Linked DNA regions of Arabidopsis thaliana. The protein of the gene in region 4 interacts with the protein of the main gene of each other region in a pairwise test. Each region holds a gene or a part of one and is shown on either strand. Other genes may lie near its edges.

The links.
Region 1: the proteins of AT2G25890 (region 4) and EMB3135 interact in a protein complementation assay, tested with the Arabidopsis thaliana proteins (one large-scale study listed by BioGRID).
Region 2: the proteins of AT2G25890 (region 4) and AT1G34640 interact in a protein complementation assay, tested with the Arabidopsis thaliana proteins (one large-scale study listed by BioGRID).
Region 3: the proteins of AT2G25890 (region 4) and RUS3 interact in a protein complementation assay, tested with the Arabidopsis thaliana proteins (one large-scale study listed by BioGRID).

Annotation. Positions count from the first base shown.
Region 1 is NC_003076.8:3,829,762-3,833,673, reverse strand, and holds EMB3135 (harpin-induced protein), read right to left. Parts: upstream 2,175-3,912; 5' UTR 1,905-2,174; coding exon 1,041-1,904; 3' UTR 523-1,040; downstream 1-522. Other genes in the region: AT5G11880 (Pyridoxal-dependent decarboxylase family protein), read left to right, coding at 3,732-3,912.
Region 2 is NC_003070.9:12,687,004-12,690,524, forward strand, and holds AT1G34640 (peptidase), read right to left. Parts: upstream 1,541-3,521; 5' UTR 1,425-1,540; coding exon 1,183-1,424; intron 794-1,182; coding exon 703-793; 3' UTR 549-702; downstream 1-548. Other genes in the region: AT1G34630 (uncharacterized protein), read left to right, coding at 1-65, 136-432.
Region 3 is NC_003070.9:4,719,723-4,725,032, reverse strand, and holds RUS3 (root UVB sensitive protein (Protein of unknown function, DUF647)), read right to left. Parts: upstream 3,460-5,310; 5' UTR 3,317-3,459; coding exon 3,195-3,316; exon of another isoform or gene 3,086-3,194; coding exon 3,028-3,085; intron 2,948-3,027; coding exon 2,888-2,947; intron 2,812-2,887; coding exon 2,773-2,811; intron 2,683-2,772; coding exon 2,620-2,682; intron 2,520-2,619; coding exon 2,463-2,519; intron 2,351-2,462; coding exon 2,287-2,350; intron 2,192-2,286; coding exon 2,108-2,191; intron 2,016-2,107; coding exon 1,933-2,015; intron 1,843-1,932; coding exon 1,713-1,842; intron 1,638-1,712; coding exon 1,545-1,637; intron 1,423-1,544; coding exon 1,284-1,422; intron 1,213-1,283; coding exon 1,169-1,212; coding exon of another isoform or gene 1,068-1,168; coding exon 880-1,067; intron 787-879; coding exon 688-786; 3' UTR 518-687; downstream 1-517. Other genes in the region: AT1G13780 (F-box/RNI-like/FBD-like domains-containing protein), read right to left, coding at 1-260, 341-352; AT1G13760 (uncharacterized protein), read left to right, coding at 3,932-4,070, 4,610-4,668.
Region 4 is NC_003071.7:11,035,400-11,038,743, reverse strand, and holds AT2G25890 (Oleosin family protein), read right to left. Parts: upstream 1,442-3,344; 5' UTR 1,385-1,441; coding exon 860-1,384; 3' UTR 565-859; downstream 1-564. Other genes in the region: AUR2 (ataurora2), read left to right, coding at 1,734-1,946, 2,392-2,499, 2,590-2,736, 2,833-2,928, 3,010-3,105, 3,198-3,294.

The DNA.
Region 1 (3,912 bases), on a different chromosome or scaffold from region 4:
GTCTTGTCTTTCTTTTTGGTTTGTACTTTACTTTGTACTGGATATCCGGTCACCGACTCAAATATATGCCGACGTTGGAGGTCATGCACTAAATTAGATATGATGACTTATTGTCATTTCCAAATTATTCATTTACGTCATAAACCAAACTACAAGTTTTTCTTTTTCAGTCACACCTCATACGTTATTGTCAACTTTTTTTCCTGCGGTTCTTCTTTGCCGTTTCGGGTAATGCCATTTGTCCCTTGGGCAGATTCCTTTTCCTCATTTTTGGACACACCGACATGAAGTCGTCGTCCATAGTTGGATAAGATTTCAGGAGTCTATCCCTGGTCGGAGTCACTTGCAAATGACCTCTTCAAACTTTTACTTACTTAGTTAATAAAAAGTTTCTTAGATAAATGAACCATATAATTCATCTTTTATGACAGCATGACATTTAATTTAATGTTTATATCAAACCATATTCATGAATTGAGTGATCGATCTGTATTAATTTTATAACATGCAACTGCTAGAATATATGCTTGCTTTATAGAGTACTAAAGACGATTCACGTTTCTCTTAAATGGTGTTGTATAATGCGATAGATGGTTCAACATCTAACATTTAACACATCTCTCGTGTTCTTCATTGTTCTCCTCACAAACCCCACGCATCTTTTCCATTTTTAAGGTTCTGTTTATTACTACTACGATCTCACTTTAATGCTCACTATCACGCAGTCACTGCAATCTCCAGCTTTTTAGTACTCCATTCGTTACAAGTATTACATTTATATTTCTGTATCCATTAAATATAAATTCAAGTAAGAAAGTTCCAAACAAAACAAAAATCCAAGAAATTTTTTTAGAAGCCGTGAATTCTCTGGCCTTCTTCTACTTGACAATACCTTATCTCTCTGACTCTTCTCTGAAATTTTTTAACTAACAACTGAAGAAATCTCCTTTTGGATCATTCCAAAAGTTTCACAAAATCCAGAAGAAAAAAAGAAGAAGATTATATAGAAAATTTCAATTGTGAAATTATCAAAATTCCCTCTAGAAACTCCATTTCCAGACCTTGACACTAAGATCAGACTTACACTTAGTTTTTTTAGAAGTAGCTACAATTGGAGTTTTACCTTTTGGTATAGTTCCTTCAAATCCTTCACATGTCACTTTGATCTCTACTCCTTCACTCTTCAGCTTCCCCATTATCATCTTCACTTTAGTTCTCATCTCGATCTCATATCCTACACGCGCGCGCGTCAGATCTGATCTCAGATGCTTAGCTTCATCCGGATCTAACTCACGCGCCGCTGTAGACGTAGCGATCACGCCGTGAAACGAAGTTTTGTTACCGTTATCGCTGAAGAAAGCAGGAACAGTTCCGTTACCGAGCATCGTACCGGATTTAGCTGAATTAACGGTGACGGTGAAAGGATCGTAAGAGAAAGAGAGGTGTTGGTTTGGATTCTCTGAGATTAGAGTGAAGTTGAAGAAGGAAGAGAGATGAGAGACGGAGGAATCAGAGGAGGTTGTTAGGTTCACGCGGCTGATTCTTATTGACGGGACGGAGAACGACGGCGGACGAGGGTGGTAGATCACGTACATCGCGGTGGCGGCGATTGCAGTCATGAGAGCTAAGATCAGAATTATCAGAATCGACCAGAAACAGCAACAACAGCAAATTCGTCGGCAGCTTGGTCGAGATTGGTGGTGATGACGGCGACTGTAAGGCTGTGGACGGTAAACCGGACGGTTAGCTGGAATGTAGACTTGAGGTTTCTGATTAGCCATTCCGTTTGTTGTTCCGTTGCTGGTTACAGTCGCCGGAGCTGGAGGAGGTGGTATGGAACCAACTGGTGGAGCTCCATTAGTGGCGGTTGGTGGTTTGGAAGCTGGGAAGACTCGGTCAGTCATCTTCTTCTTCTCCGGTTGTTTCTTTCTCTCTGGTCAGATCTGAGCTCACAAAAGAGAGAGAGATAGTGAGAGAGAAAGAGACAATACAGAGTTTTTGTGGAATCTTAATAGCTTTTTTTTCTGAGTTTATTTATTTATTGCTTTTTAATAATTTGTTTTTTTTTCGGTTTTCAGTTTTTCTTAGATTTTTGTGAATGTTCATGACTTCCATGCCAAGTCTGTGGAATCTTTTTATTGGGTGGTAAAATAATTAATGTAAGCTGATTTATTACTTACAAAGTGGCCCCATTTATTTCTGAAAAAATTATTTACACGTGTAGTATTTTAGTAACGAGTAATACTAAGATGTGTCCTGTGTACTCAAATTTTTCTTGTTTTCAGAATTTAGTAATTCACAATAGAGTATAATGTAATCAAATGAAGAAGAAGAATGGGCAAAAAAGAGTAACAATTAAAGATGTAATTAAATATCAAAATGACGGAAATAATAATCCACCGACACATATAGTGATAGTGGTAGTAGTTCACTAAAGTGTGCACGCAATTGAAATAAGTTTGAATTTAAGTCAGTGCAGGTTAAAAAAAGAGGAAATAATTAAATGAGTGCAGATATTGGAGTATTAATAGATTAGGGATCCGAAATTAAAAATATAATTAGAATAATCTCGATTTGGTTCAGACTTCAGAGAGTAAATCCCAAGTCAATAATTATTTCATCGGCAATGCTGCTCTGCTTTGAATTTTGTTAATAACCTTTGCTTCCGAGCTCTCAATTCCCAAGATTTAGCGTGATTAATAATTCAAGAGCTCTCTAACTATGTAGTATAGTTACCAATTATCACCCGGTCAAGTGTCCACACCATAAAGTCTTTAAAAAAATAAAAATAAATAACACTCAAGATCGATCACATTTCATTAAAAGATAACTGCATTACAGAGAAGCATTGTCGGAAACATCCACAAGTGGTTCCAACCAGCAAGGTACATAAACATCAACAATGGAAACATAAAGGGCAAAACATTGAGCCTACTTCACCAAACCATAAAAGTGTCTAGACATCCCAATAACTTATGGTAAAGTTTGTTTTTAACGTCTTACAGTCAAACACCTAAATATACATCCCACAACCATCGACATGAATGCAATTACATACATAGTCAGAGATTATATAGTATGACGAGAGAAGCAAAGTTGTAAGAATAAAACAAATCCTAACTTACAAAGGAGGCAGAGCACAAATAACCAGAAGCAATGGTTGCCAAACAAAACAAATCCTAACTAAGAACATTCCTTGCTCTTTGTAATAGATATAGATAATTAAGAGAGTATGATAAGCATAACTTCAACAAATGTGGATTCTAAAACATAACTTCTCCACAACGTGCACGGCTAGATAGAGCACTTCATCGTTAGCATTCAACAAAATGTTTTACATTATCCTCTGAATATCCGCATAATACGAACAAATAGAAGTATTGGTAGGTGATGAGAAATGGCAAATTTTTATAGATAGGGCTAGATTTCCATGACTGCTTTAGGTGACCCCTTAAGCATCAAGATTATTACAACACACAACTAACACAACCGAACAAAACAAACACTAGCAGAAACTATCCCCCAAGGACAAAAACCATATCCAAAAGAAGTTAAAATCGACTTTGTTCTTTCTTCTTTTAACCATCGGTTCGACTATAACCACCGGTTCGATATTGTCGGATATCTAAAACCGGACCCGACAGGAACTACTCTTAAACTTGTTGACTTTTTTTTTCTAAACCCTTCAGTGTTACTGTAACAGTCGCACACCTAACAAAAATCCTCCAGCCATGGCGGCAGTTACTCAATTTCTCTCCCAACCTTCATCAATCCGCGGAACCCTAAATCAGTACCAATTGAATCAGACTTCACTCTCAAGAATCCCATTTTTGTCTCTCAAGTCAACATTGAAGCCACTTAAACGCCTCTCCGTCAAAGCCGCCGTTTCCCAAAACTCCACCAAAACCCTCA
Region 2 (3,521 bases), on a different chromosome or scaffold from region 4:
CTTGGACTTGTCTACTATTCCGCACTTTTGAGACATGCAACATACCGCTTGTGGCCATAGCAACAGTACAAACGAAAGCCATTCTCATCACATATCATTGTTAATATAATACCTAACGTTAGGCTTCTCCTGCAGTTCCCAACAGGTCTGGCTTTAGCTATTGAGAAGAAAAGCAGAAGGATAGAGATATCACTATACTGCTTAGCGAGGGCGATAGAGAGCTTCTTTACTTGCATGACAGAGGCAGGATACATTCGACCGCCCAAGAGTTTAAGAAGAGCGGATGTGGTTGTGTTCAGCGTTTCGACAGCCATTATAATGCATTGTTACGCACAAGAAAGAGACGTATTTCGATCAAAATACTTGAACGTACTAGATTGGGTCTTCGGTGTTCCTCCTCCCCCTCCTGCTCCTTCTTGCGAAACAACCTAGAGACATTCACTTTTAACCTAAAGATCTTTCTGATGTGGGACAGAATTTGGTGGTAGAATGCTCATTTAGAGTCTCTAGGAGTTTTGTTTTGGGTCAATTTTGTATACCACAATCCATTTGACAATTTTTGTCCATCTTATGTGGACACACCAATATGTAATCTGGTAGTCTTACATGTTCTACAAAGTTAAAATAAAACGAAGCTAAATATTTTGTTAATCAACAACACTAAACCATAAAAAAGATGGACCAAGTAAATACAATATGGCTTCAATAATTTGATACGAACATCCACCACCTATACACTGCATATCCATAGACCGTGCCGTATAAAACCATCCTCATAGGGTACACTCTAAACCTGCATTACTTGGTCCAAAGATGTATCCATTATCCATTAATTAGGCCAGTAAACCAAACCAAAATTTGGATCTAACAATTAAAATCAATAGAAAATATTCACGAAAATAAACAAATTCAATCATAACTTGTACACCTAATTCGTAGATATACAATAATACATACATTGCAAATGGAACCTAACATTGTATGTATGGTTTGAGATTCGCTCTTTTGAATCCAAATTAATATCGGTTGACAAAAAAAAAATTGTATGTATGATTTATGTTTATCCAATAGGTTTTAAGGCAATAAAGCTAAACCAAAATTTAGATCTAATAATTCAAAGATTAATATATAATGATATGATAAAACAACTAGTTTGATATTGAGATAAGATAAACAAGTAACCTTGAAGGATGAGATTTGCGGGCGAGAGCGGCTGATCTTTCCTCGGCGGTGACAGGATAGCCCCACCGAGAGAAACTCCGATCAAAGAAGTCCCAATCCGGCAAAAGTATGCCGCCAATAAGAGAAATACCGACGGCGTAAGTAACAACCGTCTTCTTTAAAGACTGTGTCCATAACCATACAACTACCATCACCACTGCAAGACCTACCATTGATGATCTTAGTGCTGCTTCGTTTCCCATTATGGCTAAGAGAGAGTAGATAGCTTATATTTAAAACGGGATTAGTTGAAGTTGCTTTATAACAGTGTAAACATGGAAAGAAGATTCACAGATTATGTAGGATGTAGGAGAAAGATTTCATTTATGTGTTAAAGATAATATTTAATGGATTTTTTTATATAGGGTATATTCTTTTGGAAAAATGCGTGGCAATCAATTGAATTGAATGCCGCCATAAATGTGGTAATGTCCCAACCGTATTTTTGGATCCAAGTTTTTGTGTTTGTTCAGTTTTATCTTTATTTATGGTTTTGATCATAGAGTAATTAGAATTATACCGAAAAATTAGGAAAAAAAAGATAAATTTTGGAATGACAAGAAGGAATTCACAAACTTTTCTTTATTTTTAATTTTTTGTAGTGTAAATGTAAAAACGGATAATTTGGTATGAAAGAATTATACCGAATTGCATCATACCATATATATAAACAATATCTCTCGGATTAACTCTTTGAATTCTAATTAATATCGGTTGCCAAAAAAAATTTGTAGAATAAAATGACATAATCATCAAGCGGGACAGAAATTATTTTTAACTTTCACAAGCATAAGATTATATGAGTACGTTGTACTTTAAACATAAGACAACAAAAAAATCTTATCATATTTTTGAGGTAAAAAAAATTATAAAATTGACCAAACAATGTGTTATACATATGAAATTTACTATTTATTATTTATTTGTTATCTCATTTAATATTATGTTATAATTTTAAATTGATAAACTTAAATTTTGAATCCTCAATATTTAATTAACTTTACCAATCAAACTCTACATCTACAACCAACACATGTAATCATACAACAAAAAGTTTATAGCTACTGCCGAACAACAGTAAAAAGGAAAGTTACTACTCAACCAAACACCCACATAATTGGTTACTAACATAAATTTTGTTTTGATAGTTGGCATCGTTAGTAATAACCTCAAACTTTTCTTTTCTTTTCGCCAAAAAGTAATAACCTCAAACTACGAATGTCGTTTTGTAAATGAAGATTTCTAATTTTTTCCTATAAATGTGAAAACAAAGTAAATACTCTTTTTCATTGATAGTATATTAGTATCTAAAGCATTAATCTTACAAAGGTTGTTAGATCTATATAAATTCAGAAACAATTTTTTAAAATCCGAAGCCACAAAACTACGCATTGACAAAGGACAAGTTTAAGTCCCTTGGTAGAAACAAATGACGTCGACTATTTCTATTGTTAAATAGCGACGAGATTAAGCCCTCATATATATGCGGCTAAATAGCAACACCATGTTTCTTTTACACATGTTTTTCTATGAACTTGCTACAAAAGTTCATGAGAAAGTGTGGTCACATCTTAATAATATCTATTCCTCGGTAACTATTTTAGTCTATATCTACTAACCAATATTTGAATATTTTCTCAGTAACAAAGTAAAATATAATACTGATTCCCCCAATGGTACTGTGATGCCACATTGCTAAACACTCAATTAAGTTTGGTTTTGATACCCCTTATAACATCATGATCGCCAATGTTTATTTACCATCAATTACAGTTTTGACCTACAAATCTCATCCTCGTTATTCGACCAGTGCACTTCTACATGTAAGGTTGATAGACTTGTTTACTAGTCTTGTTGATCATCACAAGATATTTTTATGTGTTTTGTGAATTCTTGCACAATACTAAAAATCACAATCTTTATATTGCTTCGCGTGTGGGATCAAACCTAACGATAAGATCAAGAAATTTGTTCCAAACCTCTCGTAAAGACACAAACAAGACACAATGAGAACTCTGGAAGCTCTACACTAGCTAGGAATCTGAGTTTGTAAGAACAACAGATCATCATATTTTTTGAAAATCATTTAAGTCGACTAGACCTGGGTAATAATATCACTTAATCCCTTCTCAATTATTTTGGATGCATCTTCAACATTTTGTTTTTGATAAATTCGAATCATATATGCAGAAAAAACAATTTAAATACAAATGATAAGATGATTTAGCTCTTAAAAATGACCAAAGAAACAAACAAAGATGAGAAGAAGAAATTTTGATTCTCATTATATCTTTTTAATT
Region 3 (5,310 bases), on a different chromosome or scaffold from region 4:
TCTACCTTGAATTTTTGAAGACGTGACTCATTGTTAAACTGGAGAAATCTGTCAATGAAATCAATCAACAGTTTTTCGTTGTTGTTCTGAAAGGGGAAATCACGGCAGTTCAAATCAAGTCCGGGAACATTAAGCCATAGATTCTTCCATCTAGTCGATAAAACACTCGTCTTCACAGAAGCTTTAGTCGGAAGGTGTAACAGTATTTGACTAATCAAAGATTCCGGCAATTCGCTAATTCTATCAAACCCAGGCATGACCTAATAGCATTAACAAACAATAAATTAATCGAATTCCAAAAACTAGGGTACAAGTGTCTGACTATAAACGAAATACTCACCGTGGATTCCATTCGCCGGCGGAATTATTGGCCGGAGTTGTGGAATTAGCTTCAGCTACGAGCTAAACGATGAACATGAAGTGATAATGAAAGAGAATCACAAAATTGAAGTATTTATACGTTCGAAGCGGTTCCGATTCCAATTTTTGCGTTTCCAAAAAAATAAAACGGTTGCCATTATTATAATTCTTTAATTTTCCATTAATAACAAACGTTATACAATGTTAAACCGACATTTTACGGTTAAACCGGTATCGGTTACATGTTTTACATGACTTAGAACTAACATATTTTTGTATGTTTGCAACGAGTTAACAAACTATTTTGATCTTGAAAGGCGATAAAGCTCAGTCGAACTTAGCAGCGGAAGTGTGAGATATCCAATTAGCTCTCCAAGTAATGGAAGGCGAAAGAAGACGCTCTGTTTTCCAACCTCCTGATCTCAGCTACATGGGAAACAACAGAAAGAAAAAGAGTGAAAACAGTAGCTTTAGTGTCATAAAAACACGGTTTAACTGGTCCTAGTGATTTAATCTTACCTTGTGGAGCAATTCGTCATAGTGTTTATCAATCCAAGCTTCTCCTTCTGAATAAAAAGATGTGCTCTTTTCCATAAGGTTTGCCAAAACAATGGCATGAATATATGATTTCAACACATCTGCAGGTTTTGAATCTTTGTGCAAGATCACACTAACATTTCCCTTTATGTGAGCCAATAAATACTTAGCTGCAGGAGTGTACAACAACAGACAAGAACCGAGCTTACGTCAAGTATGGACAGAGAAACTAATGTCCTTGAAAGATTGTGGAAAAATAAATCAATCAAACCATTCTTGTATGAAGAAGCTCCAACACCATTTAGCAGCTGCAACCTGCACACAAATATGTCAAGCTTGAGCCGATTCTTTACCCGAAAATTATGATAATCTAGTATAGAGCTTACATATCTAGACGAGGGAGAGAGGAAACTCTCACACCTAACTGCACTCTCTTATGCAATGGCTTTGAATTCGTTGACCTCAATGAAGTGGCCCACAAGGGCAATACACCCTCCATTGAAGAAACCTGTTCGGGAGAGAGAACTGGCAACACGTTTAGTTAAAGAAAGTTATTGGTATATGGTGCAATAATAAAGAGAAACCAATAAAAAACAAAGGAAAGCCACTGAAAACTTGAAAGAATCAATGGCGCATTTCGAAATTACCTTGGCCAGTTTGAATGAAATGTGTTAGAAGAATTGAACTCCTCTCAAAGTTTAATGAATTCAATACAAGACACCGGACAGCTCTATAGTTTGCTAAATATATAAGAAAGGCAAACAGTGAGAGAAATTCTGATTTGATCTATGCTTTAACCTTCATTTGTGACTTACCATACATATGAAACACGGTGAGAGAGAGAAACGAAAGCCAAATAGCCATAGGGTTTCCAGAGGTAAACCGAGCTAGCAACATTCCCAATGACATACCCATCATAGTTGCCATAGTCTCTTGGCTTCCTTCCTTTCAATAGATAAAATAGAAGCAAAGAATTACTCAAAGTTCACATTTATAGTTTCTATATCATTCACAGTGACAAGAAGTAAAGAGTACCTTAGCAGATATATCCGCTGCATTGTCTTGAAGAGCAAAGTGCTGTGTTAGAGCTGCTCTGGTTGCTCCACTTGCAACACCAGCTAATAGCCAAGATTGAAAAAAGTTAAAAACCGATGTATCAATCCAAACCGAAGTCTTAACTTCAATGTTTGATGCAAGAAATGATACGCACTAAATGATCTTGATAGGCTCCCTAAGCAAACCACAACGATAAAGGCAGATGGAAACAAAGGAGAAAGAAGGTCCATTAGCATTCCTGCAATAAAAGCAACAAAGCTTGTAGTCATTCAACTGAGAACCAAATACAGGCAATTAGTATCAAGTGTGATGTGACAACTAACTTTTACATACCAATATCATTCATAAGGTCAGCAACTAGGCGCCACATTTTTGCATTGCTATCCAGGTTGGAACCCTGAAGAACAGAACAGTTCCCATTAAATAAGAACGTAACCAATCTAAATCTTAAAGAAAAGGGAAGAGAATCGATGTGTATTATGATTGGGAAGAATCTGCTACATAGGCACCTGATAAAATGTGAACAATATACCTCCAAGCATCCCAGTAAAATCCCTCAGAAACCACTGCATAATACACAAGATAGAATCACTATTCTCCATTGCGCTTTATAGTTCTTGAGAGAACTAGTGTGAAATGTTATATGTAAGCAATGGAAAAACTCACCTGAAATGTAGCACCTATAACAGTTGCGGATTTCTCACCAACGCCAATTGCACTCAAAAGAGCCTGAAAATAGTCCAAATCAGAAATGCTGCAGCAGACAAATTGGACCAAAATAGAGAACTCAGAAGCTCAAAAACTTTAGCTTTAGCTCACCTGAGTGGAAAGCATCATCTTTGTATAAGTTGAGAGGCCCTGCAACAAACATAGCCGAGAGTCACAATTCAAATTTCACAGTAGCTATAAGGCATACAAGCATATTCTCACATACCTGTAATGTGTCCCATAACTGAAACCCTACATAATCTGGAGTTACACTGCCAGGAAAGCCCTGCACTAGACAAAGTACAATTCAGCCAAACCCTAATCCGGAGGACAGATTCTAAAGGGAAAAAGAGAGAAAACACTTGCCTCTGGTACAAATGCTTGAAGAACTCGTCTCCACACATGATTAAAGCGATTAGCAGACCTATGAATCACTCACAGGAGACGAAAACCCAAGAAAGTTTCTCAATTTTGTTGTGAATCCACTGAAACTATCAGATTTGGATTGATTTCAAAGAGGAATAAAGAAGAACCTTTGGATAGAGAGAGAAGAGGAGGCAGTGATGGTTGCTGTTTTGAATAGCTTAGTGGAAGAAGAACCATTCCATTCTTCAAGAGTAATCGATCCGCAATCAGAGACTTGTTCTTCTCTCATGGCGAATTTTGGCTTCTTACGAGTGAAAAGAATCACTTATTCAAATGTTTAGACTTTATGAGTGTTTTGGACTTTGTGTTGGGTTTCAATTGCAATTGAATAGTCCAATGACCCAAATGTGATTGGACTTTGGGTTAGTAAAAGGTACGTTTTTGGCAAACGCAGGTCACATGTCCACATCATAGTCTTCTTTTGGCTCCCAATTGGATTTCTAGATTTAGAAACACTTAAACCAACAAGTCACGGAAGTGTGTGAAAGGAATGTTAATGCTAATGATCACCATATCTTTATATGCTTTGTGCCTATGTTTCTAGGTTTTGATCATCAGTCACCAACTTTATAAATGTTGTTTCCTACAAGTTATCTCTAGAACACAGTTGTATCACATTCATCTTCATCTTCAGACATTTGTTTTCATGATCTTCTTGTGAGAAATGGGAAACTTGTTGATGTTTTGGTGACTCTTGTGTCAATTCAAGAGGGAAAATCTCATCGAAAGCAACCTTTGTCAGGAGTTGCAATTCATAGGACACTGTTTGATGTGAATGAAGAAGCTTATGTCAAAGCTTCTCCAACAGTTCTCGGATTTGATGTAAAGCTTTGTGTTATTTTATATGATAAAAGCTTTACATTGCACCTTTTTCTTTGTTTCTACAGTGCTTCGATTTGTCTTACAAGAGTTAAATATGTCGATCCACCTCTACTGTGTTCTACGCCTATCAAGGTCTTTTCCTCATCAAGGTTTACTACGAGGTTTTGTGCTTCTCTTCTCTGCAATGAGTCTTAAATTTCTTTACAAATTCTTTAAAGTTTGATGTGTTACTAGTTTCTCTTCTTGTCAGGGTCTTTTAAAAGTATATGCAAACATCATTGTATTATATTAGAATATATATATATATATATATAGTATTCAGATTCATTATTTCAACTGATTAGATCTATGGAACAAATTGAGAGAGAAGAAGACAAGATTCTGAATTTGAACAGCAGCTAAAAAGCAAGAACAAATTTGACTTTTTAATTCCCTCTCAGAAAAGAAATGACGAACCCAAAAGTTCTTTCTAACTTAAGAAAAACTTGAGCAAAACTTAAGCAAAACTTAAGAAAAATTTAAGAAAAAAACATTCCATTTTCTTATCAAATTAGTTCTAATATTATCGTAGCTAGTGCTCAAATATCACCTAGGTTCATAACAGAGAAAACACATGGTACATATTTGGATTTTGGCCACAACTATTTGAGAAAAACTGTATGTATGTATTCGGGATCACGCCATCCAACCATCCTTGCAGGAGCCATTAAACGGGACTATTCATGTTGTTGCGGGAGGTGGAGGAGCCAGTCTAGATGATTTCTCTTGCATGCAGTCCAGCTGGAGCCTGCTCGGCGACAAGGACTTTGGGTTCGTCACCTTAATTGTCGTCGATCACTCTACCATTCAGTTCGAGTACAGGAGAAGCAGCGACGCAGTCATCCACGACTCTTTCGAGATAGCGAGGGAGTACAAAGAGATACTGGCGACTTTCACTTTGTAGGATAGGGAGAAATTAAAATAAAACGGCTATCTATTTTTATTTTGGACGGTTAATTGGAATAAAAATATCTGGTTTATTTAATATTGTCTTTATAAGTAAGTATTCGTGTAATAAACGATTGGTCGATTCTTAGTTTTTACTTGCGAATCTGAAGAATCTGATGATCGATGACGAAGATGATTCACTAAAGCCTCTTCTTCAATTGGAAGGTTCTGGTTCAGTAAAATTTTCCGGTTAAATTACTCAATAAGACGGTTCAGTGGTTAAGTGGGTCGATGTCTATTACTTAAAATGGATCAAGGTTTTAGAGGTTTTAAATAATGGATCAAATTAATTTCGTTTCTGAATCTGTGTAATCTTTTGTTGTTTTCAAAATGTTTTAAAGTTATAAAGAGGGCACCGTGCCTGTAGCAACATGTAATGATAGATCTCGATTTTGTTCCTATTCAATAGTATTT
Region 4 (3,344 bases):
CTAGAAAACCAATCAGACGTTGACAAAGAACCTCGTTTGAAAGTACAACTGCTCTACAAGACTGCATTGCCCACTACAAGCAGTGAATGTTGTCCACCCTCAGCTTCTTTATACGTTCGTGAAGCATGCATGTGCATTTTGTTGGTGCGCGCATAGTAAGCCATGCCATGCAATTCAATGCCAATGGTTTACGAACATATAGACAAGTAAAGTTTTCAATTATTTCATGAGTACCTAAAAACCACATTCATAGAACAGTTTGCAAGTATTCGAAATTTGGGAAAACATGCATACGACCTCACCGCATCTCTCAAAGGCCGAATACAATTTTTGAGGAATGATTAAACAAAGAAATATTTTTACAATCACACTAACTACAATACGTTCATGAAGACAACGTAAATGACACGAGCCATTTAGCGCAGCCTTCGAAATTTATTTAGCGAGTATAGATAAAGTGGTTCAAGCCTTGGTATTGATACACAAAATTCACAAACCTTGCAATTTTCTTTTTGAACATAAAAACAACAATATTATTTCAAATCAAACGGACCACACTCAAAACTACATTTACATATACCAAGAAAGCCACCATATAATTCTAGAAGCCAGACGGTGACCAAGTAATTGGCATTTATTAATTTACTTAATTCGTTATCATCTTTCCTTACACTAGCTATTTCACAATCATAAAACAGAAAATACCGATCAGCAATTAAACACACAAAAAATTGTATGGAAAATAGAAAATAAAATTTTAGATAGATCTTTTCAAAAAGGTAAGAACAGTATTAAAAAAACATACGTAGGATAATCATAAAACTTAATACAACATATAGATCCATATAATTATTAAACTCTAATGAGTAGTTGTTGTGGTTTGGTGTGTTTGTTGTGGCTGCGAGTGCGTATAATGTCCCAACTCTTTGGCTTTCTCCGCTATCCTCATCCTCGCGTAATCCACCTTATCCGCTCCCATCGGGTGTTTTCCGGTAACGTACTTATAAATCCACGTTAACGCCGTAGCTGCTGCCACCCCACAACCACCGGAGAATAGGAATCCCATCGTCAAAAGCCCTATCGTTATCACTGCCGGTACCAACACCGGGCTGAACAGAACCATCAACGGCGTCGCTACGATCAAACCGATCACCGTTCCGGTTAGTGTTAGTCCTGAGAGCACGAGGAGTGATAGGCCGATCGTAGCTGCCGTTACGAATCTCACTATCTGCCGAGTCGATGGTGATGATTCATGGAGACTCCTCATTATTGGTTGTTGTTGTTGCTGATGTTGTTGATGATCCGCCATTTCTTTTTTTCTTTTTCTAAGAGAGTATGGATTTAATGTTCTATGTTGTTTTTGTAGCTTTAATAAGCTTACCATTTGTGATTATTATGAAGAATGAAAATAGACTAGTATGAAGGAGAGGCTAAACTTAAACGAGACATGTGTCGAACGACGAGGCGTGTTAGGCAATGGAGAAGAGTGTCACGCGGGCGTGTCAGTTCTGCATGGAGCTACTTTGACGAGGTACTGACACGTGGTTACTTAGTTCCGAATTAAAATCTCATCGTCAAACGATCTTGAAGCTTATTGGGCTATTATCTGGGCTTGTAGTGACTGTATATTATCCTAGTGATTATGAAGTTGGAATACCGTGGGCTTAATAATATCTGGGCCTGTAGCGACTGTATCATCTCGGGAGACAAATTATTTGAAAATAAAAACCTCGATGCAGATGTATCAACACGTGGCAGCATCTGGATTCGACCGTTGCTGCTTTGCTGGTGGTTTACGTTTTTTCCCCTTTTTAAATTTCTCAATTTGGATCTGTTCCCTTTGTGAAAATTACTCTCTCTTCTCTCTTTCTTTCTTCTCTTTCTCTCGCTATCTTGGCTCATCAACGATCTCTTCCATGGGGATTTCTACAGAGACGCAGCAAATTGTAAGAAAATAACTTGTTCTTGGTTTCACAAATTCCAATTTCATTTGGTTCTTTTGTCGAATTTGTTTCAATTTAGGGTTTTACTTCCTTGTTGGTTTGCGTTTTTTCTCTGCGTTTGGTCTGTTCTAATGGAATGTGATCTGGGATTATCGATTTGGTTGCTTGATTTTCTTTGCGCCAGAAAGAATCTTGTTTCAATGTTCTCTGTTTAATTTGAGAAAGACTTGTTGGTATGATTTTGAGAAATTTCATGATATGATTGTGGATTTATTCGTTTACAGCGAGGACCCTAGATTAATTGACAAATCCGTGGATTAGTGTTAAGGAGCTGTTGATTTTATCCTTTTATCTTCAAGTTTTAAAGTATCAATGATTGTTTGTCGTTTATGATTAAGTGTATCTGAGAGTTGATTGGATTTCAATCTTTGTGATAATGTTGTATCAGGCGGCTTCAGAGGCTGCACAAAAGAGATGGACTACAAGCGATTTCGATATCGGAAAGCCACTTGGTAGAGGAAAGTTTGGCCATGTTTATCTAGCAAGAGAGAAACGGGTTAGTGTTTCTTCACAATTATGTTAAACAAGCAGAATTAATTTGATGTCTTTTTTAACCAAGCTGTCTTCTATGTGTCTTTGCAAACAGAGCGATCACATTGTGGCTTTAAAGGTTCTTTTTAAGGCTCAGCTTCAACAATCTCAAGTTGAACACCAGTTACGAAGGGAAGTAGAGATTCAATCTCATCTTCGGCATCCCAATATTCTGCGGCTCTACGGTTACTTCTATGATCAGGTTTTGTGTTATCTGTGCTTGTAAAAGAACTTCTTGTTGACATACAATGTTTGGCTCTGTGAGGTTAACATAGTTTTTGGGATACCGTTGTTGCAGAAAAGAGTTTATTTGATTTTGGAGTATGCTGTAAGGGGTGAGCTTTATAAAGAGCTTCAGAAGTGCAAGTACTTCAGCGAACGTCGAGCAGCAACTGTAAGTCCTAGTGATAATTGAACTTATTCTAGCATGTTAATGTGAATCTGTGTAGTCATACCCTTACGTTTATTGTGGCAGTATGTTGCGTCATTGGCTAGAGCCCTCATCTATTGCCATGGAAAGCATGTAATTCACAGAGATATAAAACCTGAAAATCTGTTGATTGGTGCTCAGGTAACAAATTGAATCTGGTTATCTTTCTCCATCAACGCCATGTGATTGCAGTTAGCTTATGTGTTTATGTATTCATGGATATATGTTTTCAGGGTGAGCTCAAGATTGCAGATTTTGGATGGTCAGTACACACATTCAACCGTAGAAGGACTATGTGTGGCACTTTGGATTACCTTCCACCTGAGATGGGTAAGAGAAAGCTCTCTCTCTCTTGTGTGATTCTAAATTACTTTCTTCGG